Linked DNA regions of Oryctolagus cuniculus. The main gene of each other region encodes a partner of the protein of the gene in region 3 in a complex. Links are inferred from orthologs where the notes say so. Each region holds a gene or a part of one and is shown on either strand. Other genes may lie near its edges.

Region 1 (4,899 bases), on a different chromosome or scaffold from region 3:
CCAGGGCGCCCGGCGGAGCACTGCTTCCCTGCCCCCCCAGGAGCCGGAGCCCCTCCTCCCAGCCCCCCCCGTCCCCCGCCCCTGGCTGGTCCCGGTGTCCACGCGTCCACTCGCTGTCCAGAGCCCCGCCCCGCCCCTGGGAAGCAGTCTGCCTTGAGACCGAGTCCAGCCCGAAGCAGCCCTGCGCCTGCTCACAGGTGGCACGTCCCTGGACAGCAGAGGTGGGCGAGGGCAGGCCCCGCGGCCCAGAGCCGGCCCCTGCCGCTGGGCCGGCACCAGTACCCCGCACGGGCGCCGGTTCAAGGCCCGGCTGCTCCGCTCCAGCTCCCGGTTACCGCCGGGGAAGCCACGGGCGATGCCCGCGCTCGGCCTGCACCCGCGTGGGGGGTCCAGAGTCCAGCCTGGCCCAGCCCCGCCACTGTGGCCACCTGGGGAGCCACCCAGCGGACGGAGGACGTCGCCCTCACTCGCGCTAACGGGGTCCTGGGGGCCAGGCCTGAGGGCGTCCTGGGCTCTGCAGGGGCCGCTCAGAGACCACCAGAGCCGCGGCGGGGCCGACGGACACAGGGAGCCCAGCGGGGGCAGAGGGGACCCGACTCCAGGTGGGGGAGCAGAGGGGACCAGGATCCGGGCGGGGGTCAGAGGGGACCTGACTCCTGGGGGGGAGCAGAGGGGACCCTAACTCCAGGTGGGGGGCAGAGGGGACCCAGATCCGGACAGGGGGCGGGGGGACCCTGACTCCAGGCAGGGGGAGCAAAGGAGACCCGGATCCGGGTGGGGGGGCAGAGGGGACCCTAACTCCAGGCAGGGGGGGAGTGGAGGGGACCCGGATCCAGGCAGGGGGGCAGAGGGGACCTGACTCCTGGGGGGGAGCAGAGGGACCCCGACCCCAGGTGGGGGGCAGAGGGGACCCAGATCCGGACGGGGGGGAGCGGAGGGGACCCGGATCCGGGCAGGGGGGCAGAGGGGACCTGACTCCTGGGGGGGAGCAGAGGGACCCTGACCCCAGGTGGGGGGCAGAGGGGACCCCGACTCCTGGTGGGGGGAGTGGAGGGGACCCGGATCCGGGCGGGGGGCAGGGGGTACCCCCACTCCGGGGGCGGCGCTGGGCTCCAGCCTGCGCAGCCGCGAGGGGCCCCACACATCCGCGGGGGAGGCAGGCGGGCGCGGGGGTGTCGGGGGCAGCCTCCCCGCAGCGGCCCTAACTCCACCCCGCACCCCGCACCGCGGCGTCCCGGGAGCAGAGCCTGCTCTCCTGGGCCGGACACGGCCTCCGGGACTCCCAGGACAAAGTCCCCGGCCCAGCCCCACGCCCACCCGAGGGGCCTCCCGCGCGGGGCGCCGGCTCGGCCTCCGGGCACCCGCTGAGACCGGGGGGCGACGCGCCGCCAGGGACCCCGCTCCTGGGGCCGCGCAAACCGGGACGCGGCGGCTGTCCGCGCCCCGCAACCTCCCGCGCCTGCAGGGGTGCGACCCCCCCATGCAAGGTCACCGAGCAAACGCCGGCGCGGGGGCCGGGGGGCCCGGGGCGCTGCCCCGCACCGGGGGACGCCTTCCCGCCAGCCCTGGGGGCAGGGGCGCGCGTGCCGCACTGGGGGAAACTGAGGCTCGGAGCGCGGTGGGCGCCACAGCGGCAGGGGAGACCCCCGAGACGGACGCACGGGACCCATCCAGGGCCTGCGGGTGGGGAGGACGCGGGACTGCGGACCCGGCCAGAGGCCGCGGCGGGCGAGGACGGCCGCGGCGGGGGCGGCACAGCCCCGCAAGGTCACGGCAGGGCCCCGGCCCCGCGGCGGGGGACGCGGGGGGACCGGGGTCCCGGAGGCGGCGGCCCCAGGGCGGGCGGAGCGCGGCGCCACGCGGGGCCCGGGGCTGCCGGGGCAGAGCAGCCGCGGCCCGCGGGGCTGTCAGGGCCGGCGCAGCCTCACCTGGGCCGCGAAAAGCAGCGAGGCCGCCGCGAGCCGCGCCAGCGCCAGCGCCGCCGCCATGTCGGCCGGTCCAGCCGCAGCCGTCGGCAGATGTTTCCCGGCAACACCCCCGGCGGCGCCTGCGCGCATGCGCGGCGCATGCGCACGCGCGCCCGGGGTCAAAGGCCGCGGGGCGGCGCCTGCGCGGGGCGGCGCGGGGCGGGAAGATGGCGGTGAGCGCGCGGCGGAGCCGGGGCGGGGAGCTTGAAGTCGGGCCGCGCCCCCTGCCTCACGCGCTCTGCTTGCCCCGCAGGACAAAGAGAAGAAGAAGAAGGAGAGCATCTTGGACCTGTCCAAGTACATCGACAAGACGATCCGGGTGAAGTTCCAGGGAGGCCGCGAAGGTGAGGCCGCCCCCTCCCCGCCGCCGGCCCCGTGCGTTCGCGGGTCGGGAGGCGGCGGGCGCGGGGGCCAGCGGAGGCGGCCCCGCAGCTCTGCCCGCGCGCGGCCCCGTCTCCCCAGCGCGCTGCCGCCCCGCACCGGGGCCTCTCCGCGGGCGCGGCCCCCCGCCAGGGACCCCCTGCTTGTGCCGGTGCCCGGGTCTGCGGTATCACCAGCGCCCGCCAGGGGGCGCGCCTGCACGCGTGGGAACCGCGGCCCTAGAAACGGAAATGCATTTATTTCGGAAAGGCGCGAGAACTCCCCTCTCTGGTTCGCAGCCCGGGTAGGACCAGGAGCTGCATCCGGGTCTCCCGCGTGGGGGCAGGGTCCCCAGGGTGCGATAGGGGCGCGGGTTCGAGTCCCGGCTGCTCCACTTCCGGTCCAGCTCCCTGCTGTGGCCTGGGAGAGCAGGTGCACGAGGGCCCAGGTGCTGGGGGCCGCTGCACCTGCGTGGGAGACCCGGATGGAGCTCCTGGCTCCTCGCTCCGGATCGGCGCAGCTCCGGCCGTTGAGGCCGTCTCGGGAGTGACCCAGCGGCGGGAGGGCCTCTCCCCGCCACGCTGGCCCCGGTAGGGGAGTGGGGCCGGCCCCCCAGGACACTCACCAGCCCACCGAGCCCACGTGTCACAAGCTGTCTGCTGTGGCTGTGGGCCGGGGTCGCCGTGTTCCGCCCCGGGACTCGCCTGCCGCCCGCGCCGGGTCAGGCGGGGGGCCTGGGTCGCTGACCCCGCCCACCCACTCCCCTGTGGGGTCGGGGCCCCAGCGCGCAGGTGCGGCAGCGGCCTGAGGTTGCTGGAGCCGCAACCCGAATAGCAGTGACCACCGCGGCGTCCCGCGCTGCGCACTGGCTCCCCCACCCAGGGCCGCGCTGCCCTGCCGTCCCAGCCCGCGCCGGCTCCCGCGCTGCCCCTCTGGGCGGGCGGGCTGGACCTCACGCCCCCCCCCCCCGCCCCAGCCAGCGGCATCCTCAAGGGCTTCGACCCCCTGCTCAACCTCGTGCTGGACGGCACCATCGAACACATGCGAGGTGAGCCGGTCCGCCCCCCGGGGACGCCCAGGCCGTGCGGGAGCCGGGCGGTGAGGGTGGGTCCCGCGCGGGGTTGCGGTCTTCCCGCCCCGCCCCGCCCCTGACGGCAGCCCTGCGCCTGCTGTGCCCGGCCCCGGCCCCGGCCCTGGCCCTGTCCCTGTCCCTGTCCGTGCGGGGTGCCGGCCGCCGCCCGCCGCCCGCCTGCCTCAGCCCTCCCCGCCCGCAGATCCCGACGACCAGTACAAGCTGACGGAGGACACGCGGCAGCTGGGCCTGGTGGTGTGCAGGGGCACCTCGGTGGTGCTCATCTGCCCGCAGGACGGCATGGAGGCCATCCCGAACCCCTTCGTGCAGCAGCAGGACGCCTAGGCCGGCGGCCGGCCTCAGCCCCGCCCCCGGGACCGCCTACCCGCCTGGGTCGGCCCCGCCCCGCCCCCGGGACCCTGCCCGCCTGGGTCAGCCCCGCCCCGGCACCGCCCCCGCCACCTCGGCCCCGCCCCCGGGACCCTGCCCGCCTGGGTCAGCCCCGGCCCCGCCCCCGCCAGCTCGGCCCCGCCCCCGGGACCGCCTACCCGCCTGGGTCGGCACCGCCCCGCCCCCGGGACCCTGCCCGCCGGGGTCAGCCCCGCCCCCGCTCAGTAAAGCCGCAGCCCCTCTGCCCGCTCGCCTCGCTTTCTCAGCCCCTGGCCCCGGGACCCCTCCCCGTCCGCCGCCCCCTCGCACCCTCCCTCCTGGGCGCTGGGGCACGCGGGAGGCGCGCGCTGCGCTGGAGCCCGGGCCCCTGGCTCACGGGGCTCACCGGGCTCTGCGGCCCGCGGGCGCCAGCTGCTCCGGGCCCCGCACCTGCTCCCAGCCATCTGGCCTGGGCTCCCTGTCAGAGGCCATCTCAGGGCCGGGGCCGTGCACTGCGGGGTGGGGGGGGCGCCTCACAACTGAGGGACTGGACGGCGGATGAGGGGAGCACCCCCCGTTTCTGAGCCCCCGCAGCCCCGGCTCGGCCTAGCCCCGCCTCCTGCCGTGGCTCTGCTCTGTGAGCGCTGGGGCGCAGCGGGCGAAGCCGCCGCCTGTGGTCCCGCTTCCCACGTGGGCGCGGGTTCGAGTCCCAGCTGCTCCACTTCCGATCAGCTCCCTGCCGTGGCCTGGGAGAGCAGTGGACGATGGACCAATGGTGGACCCCTGCACCCGCGTGGGAGACCCGGATGGAGCTCCTGGCTCCGGATCGGCGCAGCTCCGGCCAATGCGGCCATCTGGGGGGTGACCCAGCGGATGGAGGACCTCTCTCTCTGTCTCTGCCTCTCTGTAACTCTGCCTTTCGGATAAATAAACCACTTTAAGAAAACTGGGCGCCTTGGGGAGAAGGGCCTACAGTGGGCTCGGGCCGGCACGTGTGGTCAGCCGCCGGGTGGGTCTTGCAGAGCTGGGTGCCTCCGGGCCCCCCCTGGCTCGCTCTGGCCTCCAGGAGTTGGCAGCGACGGGGGCTGGGGGACGGGGCTGGGGTCTCCCGGTGCAGCGGGGCCTCCACCA
Region 2 (4,799 bases), on a different chromosome or scaffold from region 3:
TCAAAATATTTTTCCAAGAACTGTGTGAATACATGGGTCTTCCCAAACTCAATGCAAGATTAAAGGATGAGTAAGTTTGTCGTTAAGCACTCTTTATTCTTACTGTCCTCAGGGATTTTCCCCTTCTTTGGCAGATATAAGTCTGTCCTTGGTTGTAAAGAAAGAGACAGAGAAAGAGAAGGGAAGGGGAGGAGGAAGGAGAGAAGGGGGAAGGAAAAGAAAAGAAAGAAAAGGCCCCTAGGACTTTTTTAATCCATTAATCATCTACTTCTCTGTATCTCATGTAGCATAGGACAGCATGCAACTTTTTTTTTATAAAGATTTTATTTATTTATTTGACAGTGAGAGGGAGAGATAGAGAGGTCTTCCATGACTGCAATGGCCAGAGCTGCACCAATCCAAAGCCAGGAACCAGGAGCTTCCTGTGGTCTCCCACGTGGGTGCAGGGGCCCAAGGACTTGAGCCGTTTTCTACTGCTTTCCCAGGCCATGGCAGAGAGCTGGACTGGAAGAGGAGCAGCTGGGACTAGAGCCAGCGCCCATATGGGATGCCGGCATCTCAGGCAGAAGATTAACCTACTGCGCCATTGCACTGGCCTCCAGCATGTAACTTTTAATTGTACTTATACTGCTAGTCGCAGGAAAACAAAATTAATGCTTCCTTTAATTTCATTAGAGCATATGAAATGTTTTTTTTTTGCATGCTCACTGAAATTCTGCAGTTGATGAGTACTTAGTTTTCTCTTATTTCGTACCTTTGTGTTGAGCCCTAAAACAACAATGTTTTGTAATCAGTGGACACCATTGAAGCATCCTTCCCAGCTTCTTCCATGACCACTGCCAAATGCTGTAGTCAGTCCTTATGCCCCTTTACTTCTCTGCCTGTCTTTAGCAGTTGGTCACTTGCTCACTGTGACTTCTCACTTTATCCTTAGTCTCCGTCTCCTCCTCAGCTGGCCTCTCCAGTGTTAAGGTTCACCTGAGGTCTGTCCTGGGTTCTGGATGCTATCTGTGGGCTATTCCATCCACTTCTCCTGGCTTCATATACTTACTGACTCTGGTTCCTGTCAGTTGTACCAGGCTCAATTCCTTTAGCAAATGGCACTGTAGCCACATCTCCACTGCCATCGTGTCAAGCCTGTCTGGCTGTTGATGTTTCTTTATTTCTGTTTCTACAACTGGCAGTCCCCTCTCTTTTTCATCTGTCTAGCAAACTCTTAATCATTCTTTTTATAATAGTTTACCTTTTTCTATGAAACGTTTTCCTGACTCCATCTAGTAGTCATTCAGTGTGGCACTCAGAATTGATCAGAACCACAGTACATTGTTAATGTTTTTCTGTTTGCCCTGCTCTGTAAATAGAGTAATTCTATGCAGTCCTCAATCCTAAATGTCTCCCTTTTGTTGACTCCTTCCTCATATCTCTCAGTGTTGTGTACACATGCCTGTGTATATATTAAAATACAAGCGGGTTTTTTTTAAATCTTAAATACGGGGGCTGGCGCTGTGGCTTAGCAGGTAAAGCCACACAGGCATCCCATATGGGCACTGGTTGAAGTCCCAGCTGCTCTACTTCCTATCCAGCTCTCTGGCTAGAAAACAGTAGAAGAAGGTCCAAGTCCTTGGGCCCCTGTACCCATGTGGGAGACCCAGAAGAAGCTCCTGGCTCCTGGCTTCGAATTGACACAGCTCCAGCCATTTTGGCCAACTGGGGAGTAAACCAGCGGATGGAAGACCTCTCTCTCTCTCTCTGCCTCTGCTTCTCTCTCTGTGTAACTCTGACTTTCAGATAAGTAAGTAAACCTTTAAAAAATTTTATATATGTATACCATACACACACATATATGTATGTGTCCATGTGTATTCTTCTGTGTTGACACGAGTGAAAAGTTTTTAAAAATTCAGCTTAGTATATTATTACTTGACCCTACTCATTTCATTTAGATAGCAGGTAGCATAACCTAATAAGAGGCATACACCACCATTTATTATTTCATTTGTTTATTTAATATACTGGAAGTCTGCAAAATAACTGTAAGGATTTTTGTCTTTTTGTTCTCTTCCATTCATTTTTTTTTCTTTTATAGAACCCTACAGCCATTCTTTGAAGGGTTGTTACCCCGAGATAATCCAAGAAACACTCGATTTGCCATCAACTTCTTTACTTCTATAGGTCTTGGAGGTTTAACGTAAGAATTTTGTTTTCACCTTACACAATTACCTTACAGTTGCCTTTGAGACAGAATCTAACAGACTATGTTTTTAATTAGGGATGAATTGCGTGAGCATCTCAAAAACACACCAAAAGTCATAGTGGCTCAGAAACCAGATGTTGAACCAAATAAATCCTCCCTGTCTTCTTCGTCATCAGCGTCCTCCTCGTCGGAGTCCGACTCCTCTGACTCTGACTCTGACTCTGACTCTGACTCTGACAGCAGTGATAGCAGTTCAGGGTCCTCCAGTGAGGAGAGCGATTCTTCATCCTCCGGGAGTCACAGCTCGGCCTCAGGTATTGAAGCTTCTCCATAACCTATCCTGCTCTTTGCTAACAAGCGTATTGCTGGTGGTATTTATAATGACGGAAGAAAGTGATTGTATTGTATTGCTTGTTTTAGAGTTGAGTTGTTTAAAGCTTTAGTTAATAATATGCACAATCATCCGTCACTATTACAATGTGTTAGTGTATTACAGCATCTACAATGCCAACATTACCTGTTGGAATCCTCTTCATCGAAGCCAAGATACTTCATGGGCATGTGTTTATCGTGGTGTCAACTTAATATAATGTATAACAGTTGCCTGATGCTTTTATTTGAAAAAAAAAAAATGTTTTGGCTTTTCTTCTAATAGCAAAGCTTTATTTTAGTGATTGACATATACCACACATGCAGTGCTTGTCCTGTGTGCTATGTGAATAGCTAGCACTCTGGCCAGAATTTCTCCTTGTTCCCTCTCCCAGTAACTGCCCTCCCTCTGGCCTATCTGCTACTATTCTGATTTGTAATTCTATAGATTCGTTTTGTATGTTGTAACTTCAGAACTGTGCATTACGAATCCTCTATGTCTGACATTTCTTTCAACATTACGTTTGTGAGATTCTTGTATAGAATTGCATTTAGGTATAGTTCATTCATTCCTGTTACAGTTCTCTACTTCATGAATATACTGTAATCCTATTATCTTTTTAGTCAGTGGACATGTAAATTTACAGATAGTGTTCCCATGAATACTCTTGTACATAACTTTTGCTGATCATATATACACAGATAGTCCCCAACCTACAATGGTTCATCTTAGGAGTTTTTGACTATGATAGTCCATATGCATTCCATAAAAGCTGTACTTTGAATTATGTATTTTGATCTTTTCCTGGGCTGGGGTAATGCCATACATTGCTCTCATGATGCTCAACTGTAGGCTAATGTTGAGTATTCTGAGCACATTTAAGATAGGCTAAACTAAGTTATGTTTCGGAGTTTAGTCATTTTCATCTTGGTATTTTTAACTTGGAATTGATTTATTGGGACATAGCCCCATCATTGGACAAGAAACGTTTGTGTATATGTGTGTATGTGTGTGCACATTTCCTTTGGGTATATACCTACAGGTGGTATATCAGATAATATAGCATGTAATTATTGCTGATAATCAGATGTCATAGCATGTGTTTGTGTTTGACTTTAGTAAATACTATCAACCAGGGTTTTTTTTGTTTGTTTGTTTTTAAAGATTTTATATATTTGGGGCCGGCGCTGTGGCTCACTTGGTTAATCCTCCGCCTGCAGCGTCAGCATCCCATATGGGTGCTGGATTCTAGTCCCAGTTGCTCCTCTTGCAGTCCAGCTCTCTGCTGTGGCCCGGGAAAGCAGTGGAGGATGGCCAAGTGCTTGGGCACCTACACCCACATGGGAGACCAGGAGGAAGCACCTGGTTCCTGGCTTCGGATCAGCATAGCTCCAGCTGTAGCAGCCATTTGGGGGGTGAACCAACGGAAGGAAGACTTTTCTGTCTTTCTCTCTCTCTCTAACTCTTATTTGTCAAATAAAAAAAAAAAGATTTTATATATTTATTTGAGAAGTAGAGTTAGAGCAGTGAGAGGGGAGACAGAGAAAAAGGTCTTCCTTCCTCTGGTTCACTTCTCAAACCACTGCACTGCCAGAGTTAAGCCAATCTGAAGCCAGGAGCCAGGAGCTTCTTCCAGTCTCCCACATGGGTGCAGGGGCCCAAGCACTTGGGCCATCTTCTGCTGCTTTCCCAGGCCATAGCAGAGAGCTGGGTTGGAAGAGGAGCAGCCAGGACTTGAACTGGTGCCTGTCTGGGATGCTTATACAACAGGCTGGGTCTTTAACCCGCTATACCATAGTGCTGGCCCCTGCCAAACAATTTTTTTAAGTGTTTATTTCAACATACACTCCCACCAGCCACATATAGAGTTCTAGCAGCTCCCTACCAGCGCTTGAGATTGCCCATGTTTTTCATTTTGGCCAGATCTGGTGGCTATGTAATGATACAGTATTGTGGGTATTGTACTTTAATTTTCATTGTCTTTCTCACTGATGAAGCGGAATACCATTTAAGCTTTATTGGCCATTTTAATACTTCCCTTTTTGTTAGGTGGCTGTTCCAGGCTTTGTGTGACCCCCACCTTATTTTTTTATGTCTGCTCTATTAATTTATCAGAATTCTTTACGTATCCGAGATGTGTATCTTTCACCATGTATGTGTCTGCAGCTCACTGATGCCCTTCTCTCCAGCCCTGTGAGCTTGCCAGAACGCCCTGTCTTCTCTCTATTCCCTCAG
Region 3 (4,799 bases):
CATCTGGGTCTCCCACGTGGGTGGGCACAGGAGCCCAAGCAATTGGACCTTCTTCTGCTCCTTTCCCAGGCCATTAGTAGGGAGCTGGATTGAAGTAGAGCAGCCGGGACTCCACCCAGCAACTATAAGGGATGGCATTGTCACAGACAGTGGTTTTACAAAACCCACTATGCAGGCCGGCACCGCGGCTCACTAGGCTAATCCTCCGCCTTGCGGCACCGGCACACCAGATTCTAGTCCTGGTCGGGGCGCTGGATTCTGTCCTGGTTGCCCCTCTTCCAGGCCAGCTCTCTGCTGTGGCCAGGGAGTACAGTGGAGGATGGCCCAAGTACTTGGGCCCTGCACCCCATGGGAGACCAGGATAAGTACCTGGCTCCTGCCATTGAATCAGCACGGTGCGCCGGCCGCGGCGGCCATTGGAGGGTGAACCAACGGCAAAGGAAGACCTTTCTCTCTGTCTCTCTCTCTCACTGTCCACTCTGCCTGTCAAAAAAACAAAACAAAACAAACCACTATGCCCCAACACCAGAGCCATTGTAGTTGTCATTGTTGGTTTGTTTTGCGACTTTTTTTTTTTTTTTTAAGATTTATTTATTTTTTGAGAGGCAGAGTTCCTCATAGAGAAAAGAAGAGACAGAGGTCTTCCATCCACTGGTTAACTCCCCGAATGGCCAAAAGGGCTAGAACTGGGCCCAGCTGAAGTCAGGAGCCAATAGCTTCTTCCGGGTTGCCCACATGGGTGCAGGGACCCATATGGGACACCAGCTCCTCAGGCAAAGGCTTAACCTTCTATGCCACAGTGTTGGCCCCAGTTTAGTGACTTTTTAAACTAGTTTTGTGAAGACTGTGTTGTTTGTCCTGCATAACTACTGAAGTCTTGTTCCATTATTTTAGTTATCAACTAGTGATTCTTTTATCACCTAGAACAAGTAAAAAAAACTCTCCCAGTCTTTGTAGATTGGCTCTGCATGTATGCTTAGAGCCATTTCATAGAGGAGAAAACTAAGTCACATGGAGTACACTTTTCCAGGTTACTAAGTGACAAAGCTAGGATTCCTGTCTAAGTAATTTAGGTCTGAGTCTCCACTCTGCAGTAAGATAAATCAAGACATGCAATAAAAATTTTAGCTGCAGGGTTTCAAGACAAACCCAGATCCCCGGCAGACCGTTTTACACAACATAAACCTCCAGGGGGCATTATTACCAGCAGTGTGCAAGTGTGCCATTTATTTATTTATTTGAGAGGCAAAGTTACAGAGTGAGGAAAAGACAGAAAGTCTTCCAACCACTGGTTCACTCCCCAAATGGCGCAGTGGCCAGAACTGGGCAGATCCGAAGCCAGGAGTCAGGAGCTTCTTCCGGGTCTGCCACACGGATGCAGGAGCCCAAGCACTTGGGTCCTCTTCCACTGCTTTCCCAGACCATAGCAGAGAGCTGGATTGGAAGAAAAAGAGAGGCTGGGACTCGAACCAGTGCTCATATGGGATGCTGGCATTGCAGGTGGGGACTTAATCCACTGCGTCACAATATCGGCCCCCAATAACATAACTTTTAAAAATCTATATAAAAATATTTTGTTCTGCCTCTCGTTAACAGTTCTCAATTTCCTCTCTGAGCTAGAACTGTATCTTAGTGTTTTTTCCTTCATGATGAGACAGAGAGGTGAGCCAACAAACATTTACTGAATGATTTAATAAAATTACTGTTTAGGGGGCCAGAGTTGTGACAGTGATATCTCATTTTGGAGTGCTGTTTTGAGTCCCAGGTGCTCTATTTTAGATCCACCTCCCTGCTAATGCGCCTGGGAAAGCCGCTGAAGATGGCCCAAGTATTTGGGCTCCTGTGACCAATGTGCGAGACCTGGATGGAGTTCTGAACTCCTAGCTTTGACCCAGACCAGTCCCAGCTGCTATGGTCATTTGAGAAGTGAACCAGCAGATAGAAGATCTCTCTGTTTCTCACCATTTTTGTAACTCTGTCTTTCAAATAATTAAATAGATCTTTTAAAAAATTACTGTTTGGATAGGAGAGGATACTAACTGACTTTAATTATAACTAACAGTAAACCATCTACTATGAATGTAGTTATGAAATTATGACTAGAACTAAACATGAAAACGTTTAGTTTTTTTTTTTTTTTTTTTTTTTTTCTATTTTGAAAGACAGTTACATAGAAAGGTAGGGATACAAAGAGAGAGCGGTCTGGCCAGCGCCGGGGCTCACAAGGCTAATCCTCCGCCTGCGGCCCTGGCACCCCAGGTTCTAGTCCCGGTTGGGGCGCCAACTTCTGTCCTGGTTGCTCCTCTTACAGTCCAGCTCTCTGCTGTGGCCCGGGAAGGCAGTGGAGGATGGCCCATGTGCTTGGGTCCCTGTACCCGCATGGGAGACCGGGAAGAAGCACCTGGCTCCTGGCTTCAGATCAGCACAGCGCCGGCCATAGCGGCCATTTGGGGAATGAGCCAACAGAAGGAAGACCTTCTTCTCTGTCTCTCTCTCACTGTCTATAACTCTACCTGTCAAATTAAAAATAAATAAATAAATAAAATCTTTGAAAAACAAAACAAGGTAGGGTCAGAGCTGTGATGCAGTGGGTTAAGCCACCACCTGTGACACCAGCATCCCATATGAGAACCAGTTCAAGTCTTGGCTGCTCAGCTTCCAATCCAGTCCCAGCTAATGTGCCTGGGAAAGCAGCACAAGATGAGCCAAATGCTTTGCCCCTGCCACCTATGTGAGACACCCAGATAGAGTTCCTGGCTCCTAGCTTCTGCCTGTACTAGCTTCAGCCATTTTGGGGAGTAAACAAGTAAATGGAAGATCTCTCACTCTCCCTTGCTCTCCTTTCTCACTGTAACTCTGCCTTTCAAATAGTAAATATGTGGGTTTTTTTTTTTTTTTTTTTTTTTTTTTTTTAGGCAGTGGTCTAATATCTTTCTCCTAAAGAATATACGAAGTAAACTTATAGAGGACTTCTTCCAAGGGCATGTTGATTAACAGTATTTTATTCTAACTTTATTACCAAAGGAGTCTGAAAATATAACCAAAATAGTTTATTCCACCAGCCTTCAAATAATTTGGCAAAATTGTGATCATTTTTTACCATGTGTTGCTAGGACATCCAAGAAAGTTTCTGAATGAGGTTCTTGTTCTAGATGTGTTCATGTCTACCAAGTATGTTGTGCAGTTACTTCTCAAGGAGATGTTACTGATAGACTGTCCTATTCCTCTGCTTTAGCTTTGGGATATCCGGAAGAAAGCAGCCATCCAGACATTTCAGAACACATACCAAGTGTTAGCTGTGACCTTCAATGACACAAGTGATCAGATTATTTCTGGTGGAATAGACAATGATATCAAGGTATGTGATGTTCGTGTTGTATTTCACTTTGACCTGCATCCACTTACAGAAGCAAATCTTTGAAGACTTTTGGGATTGTGGTAGCTTTGTGCTTAATACCAACTAAAATTACAATAATAACTTAGAACTTTCTTTCTCTTCGGTCCTCATTGTCTTCCTCAATCAAAGGTTTCATTGCAGCCCATATAAATGCTGTCAGGGACCAGGCGGTTCATGTGCCGCATGCATCCCCTGGGTGGAGGACTAGTGGAAGGACGGGTGTCCTCCACTCTTGCTGTGTTTTTCTTTTTGACACTATTTAAATTAAGTTTTCTAAGCTTCTAGTAAGAATGAGAGAAAGTAATACTTTTGGAGAAGGAGGCAGTGGGCCGTGTGGCAGTACAGTGTAGCTTAAACCTTCAACTAATTTGACTTGGGTTCTAATCCCACTTCTGCTGTTTTCTAGTTTTGTGATTTCAAATGGGTTCTTTAACTTGTTCACTTTAAGCTTATGTTTTCTCACATGAAGAGTGAAGGTGATAATAATAACAGTAACTTCTGCCTCATAGAGTTGTTGGGATTAAATGAGCCTATCCTTAGACCACCTGCAGTGTTCCTGGATATAGCAAGTACCAGTAAATGTGAAGGGGTATTTTGGGACTATACAATTCAAGCCTTTGCTTACTGGTTCCCTAAAGGATCTCAAAAACTGTGGCCCTACCCTTTGCATTACTGAGGTAATTACTGTTAGATCGATGCTAAGCTTCCTGTGTTGTCTCTACATGGCAATTGTTCTGTATTCCCATTCCTGCTTGCTTCCTTTGCTGTTACTATGGATGGCATGTCTCATTAAGTGGGAAGATTTCAACCTTCACTTCTCAAGGACCTCATGCCAGCAGTTTCCCCAAACTATTTTCAGCGTCTTCTCTCCTGCTTTTCTACTTTCTTATCAGAATTTCACTATGGTGGTAGGGTAAGGAGGAATCTTCCTTCAGTTCCACATGGAGATTGCTGTTGCTTGGTGACTCTTCCTCCTCACAGCCAAATGTCTTGCAAAAAGAAGATGGTGGTGATGATAAAAACAATGTTGTTGTCATCATCTAACACATAGTGCTTACCTTGTGTCAGATCATGGATCAGCTCTACATCATTAATTCATTTAAGCTCCACAACAACTTTGTCAAATGCTACTAGTGTTATTTCATGCTTAAGAAGCTGAGCTAGAAAAGGCATAACAACTTAATCTAAGCTTACACAGCTAATAAGTGGTGGAACCTCAGTTTAAAATCTCAAGTTTGCTTCCAGAGTCATGCTTTTTTATTTGAAAGACAGAGTTGCAAAGAGAAAAGTCTTCCATCCTATGGTTCATTCCCCAAATGGCTGCAGCAGCCAGAGCTGGGCCAGTCCCAAGCCGGGAGCCAGGAGCTTCTTCCAGTTCTCCCACGCAGGTGCAGGGGCACAA

The links.
Region 1: SNRNP40 (region 3) and LSM7 share a complex: the UniProt entries of both Homo sapiens proteins name them as parts of the U4/U6-U5 tri-snRNP complex. The link is inferred for Oryctolagus cuniculus from reciprocal best matches to the Homo sapiens genes SNRNP40 and LSM7.
Region 2: SNRNP40 (region 3) and CWC22 share a complex: the UniProt entries of both Homo sapiens proteins name them as parts of the minor spliceosome. The link is inferred for Oryctolagus cuniculus from reciprocal best matches to the Homo sapiens genes SNRNP40 and CWC22.

Annotation. Positions count from the first base shown.
Region 1 is NC_091447.1:59,144,820-59,149,718, reverse strand, and holds LSM7 (U6 snRNA-associated Sm-like protein LSm7), read left to right. Parts: upstream 1-2,081; 5' UTR 2,082-2,134; coding exon 2,135-2,140; intron 2,141-2,220; coding exon 2,221-2,311; intron 2,312-3,303; coding exon 3,304-3,375; intron 3,376-3,601; coding exon 3,602-3,744; 3' UTR 3,745-3,788; intron 3,789-3,890; 3' UTR 3,891-4,714; downstream 4,715-4,899. Other genes in the region: SPPL2B (signal peptide peptidase-like 2B), read right to left, coding at 1,929-2,057. UniProt on the Homo sapiens protein: Plays a role in pre-mRNA splicing as component of the U4/U6-U5 tri-snRNP complex that is involved in spliceosome assembly, and as component of the precatalytic spliceosome (spliceosome B complex).
Region 2 is NC_091434.1:61,122,629-61,127,427, forward strand, and holds part of CWC22 (pre-mRNA-splicing factor CWC22 homolog), read left to right. Parts: coding exon 1-70; intron 71-2,086; coding exon 2,087-2,188; intron 2,189-2,269; coding exon 2,270-2,508; intron 2,509-4,799. UniProt on the Homo sapiens protein: Required for pre-mRNA splicing as component of the spliceosome. As a component of the minor spliceosome, involved in the splicing of U12-type introns in pre-mRNAs. Promotes exon-junction complex (EJC) assembly.
Region 3 is NC_091438.1:141,089,189-141,093,987, forward strand, and holds part of SNRNP40 (U5 small nuclear ribonucleoprotein 40 kDa protein), read left to right. Parts: intron 1-3,235; coding exon 3,236-3,358; intron 3,359-4,799. UniProt on the Homo sapiens protein: Required for pre-mRNA splicing as component of the activated spliceosome. Component of the U5 small nuclear ribonucleoprotein (snRNP) complex and the U4/U6-U5 tri-snRNP complex, building blocks of the spliceosome.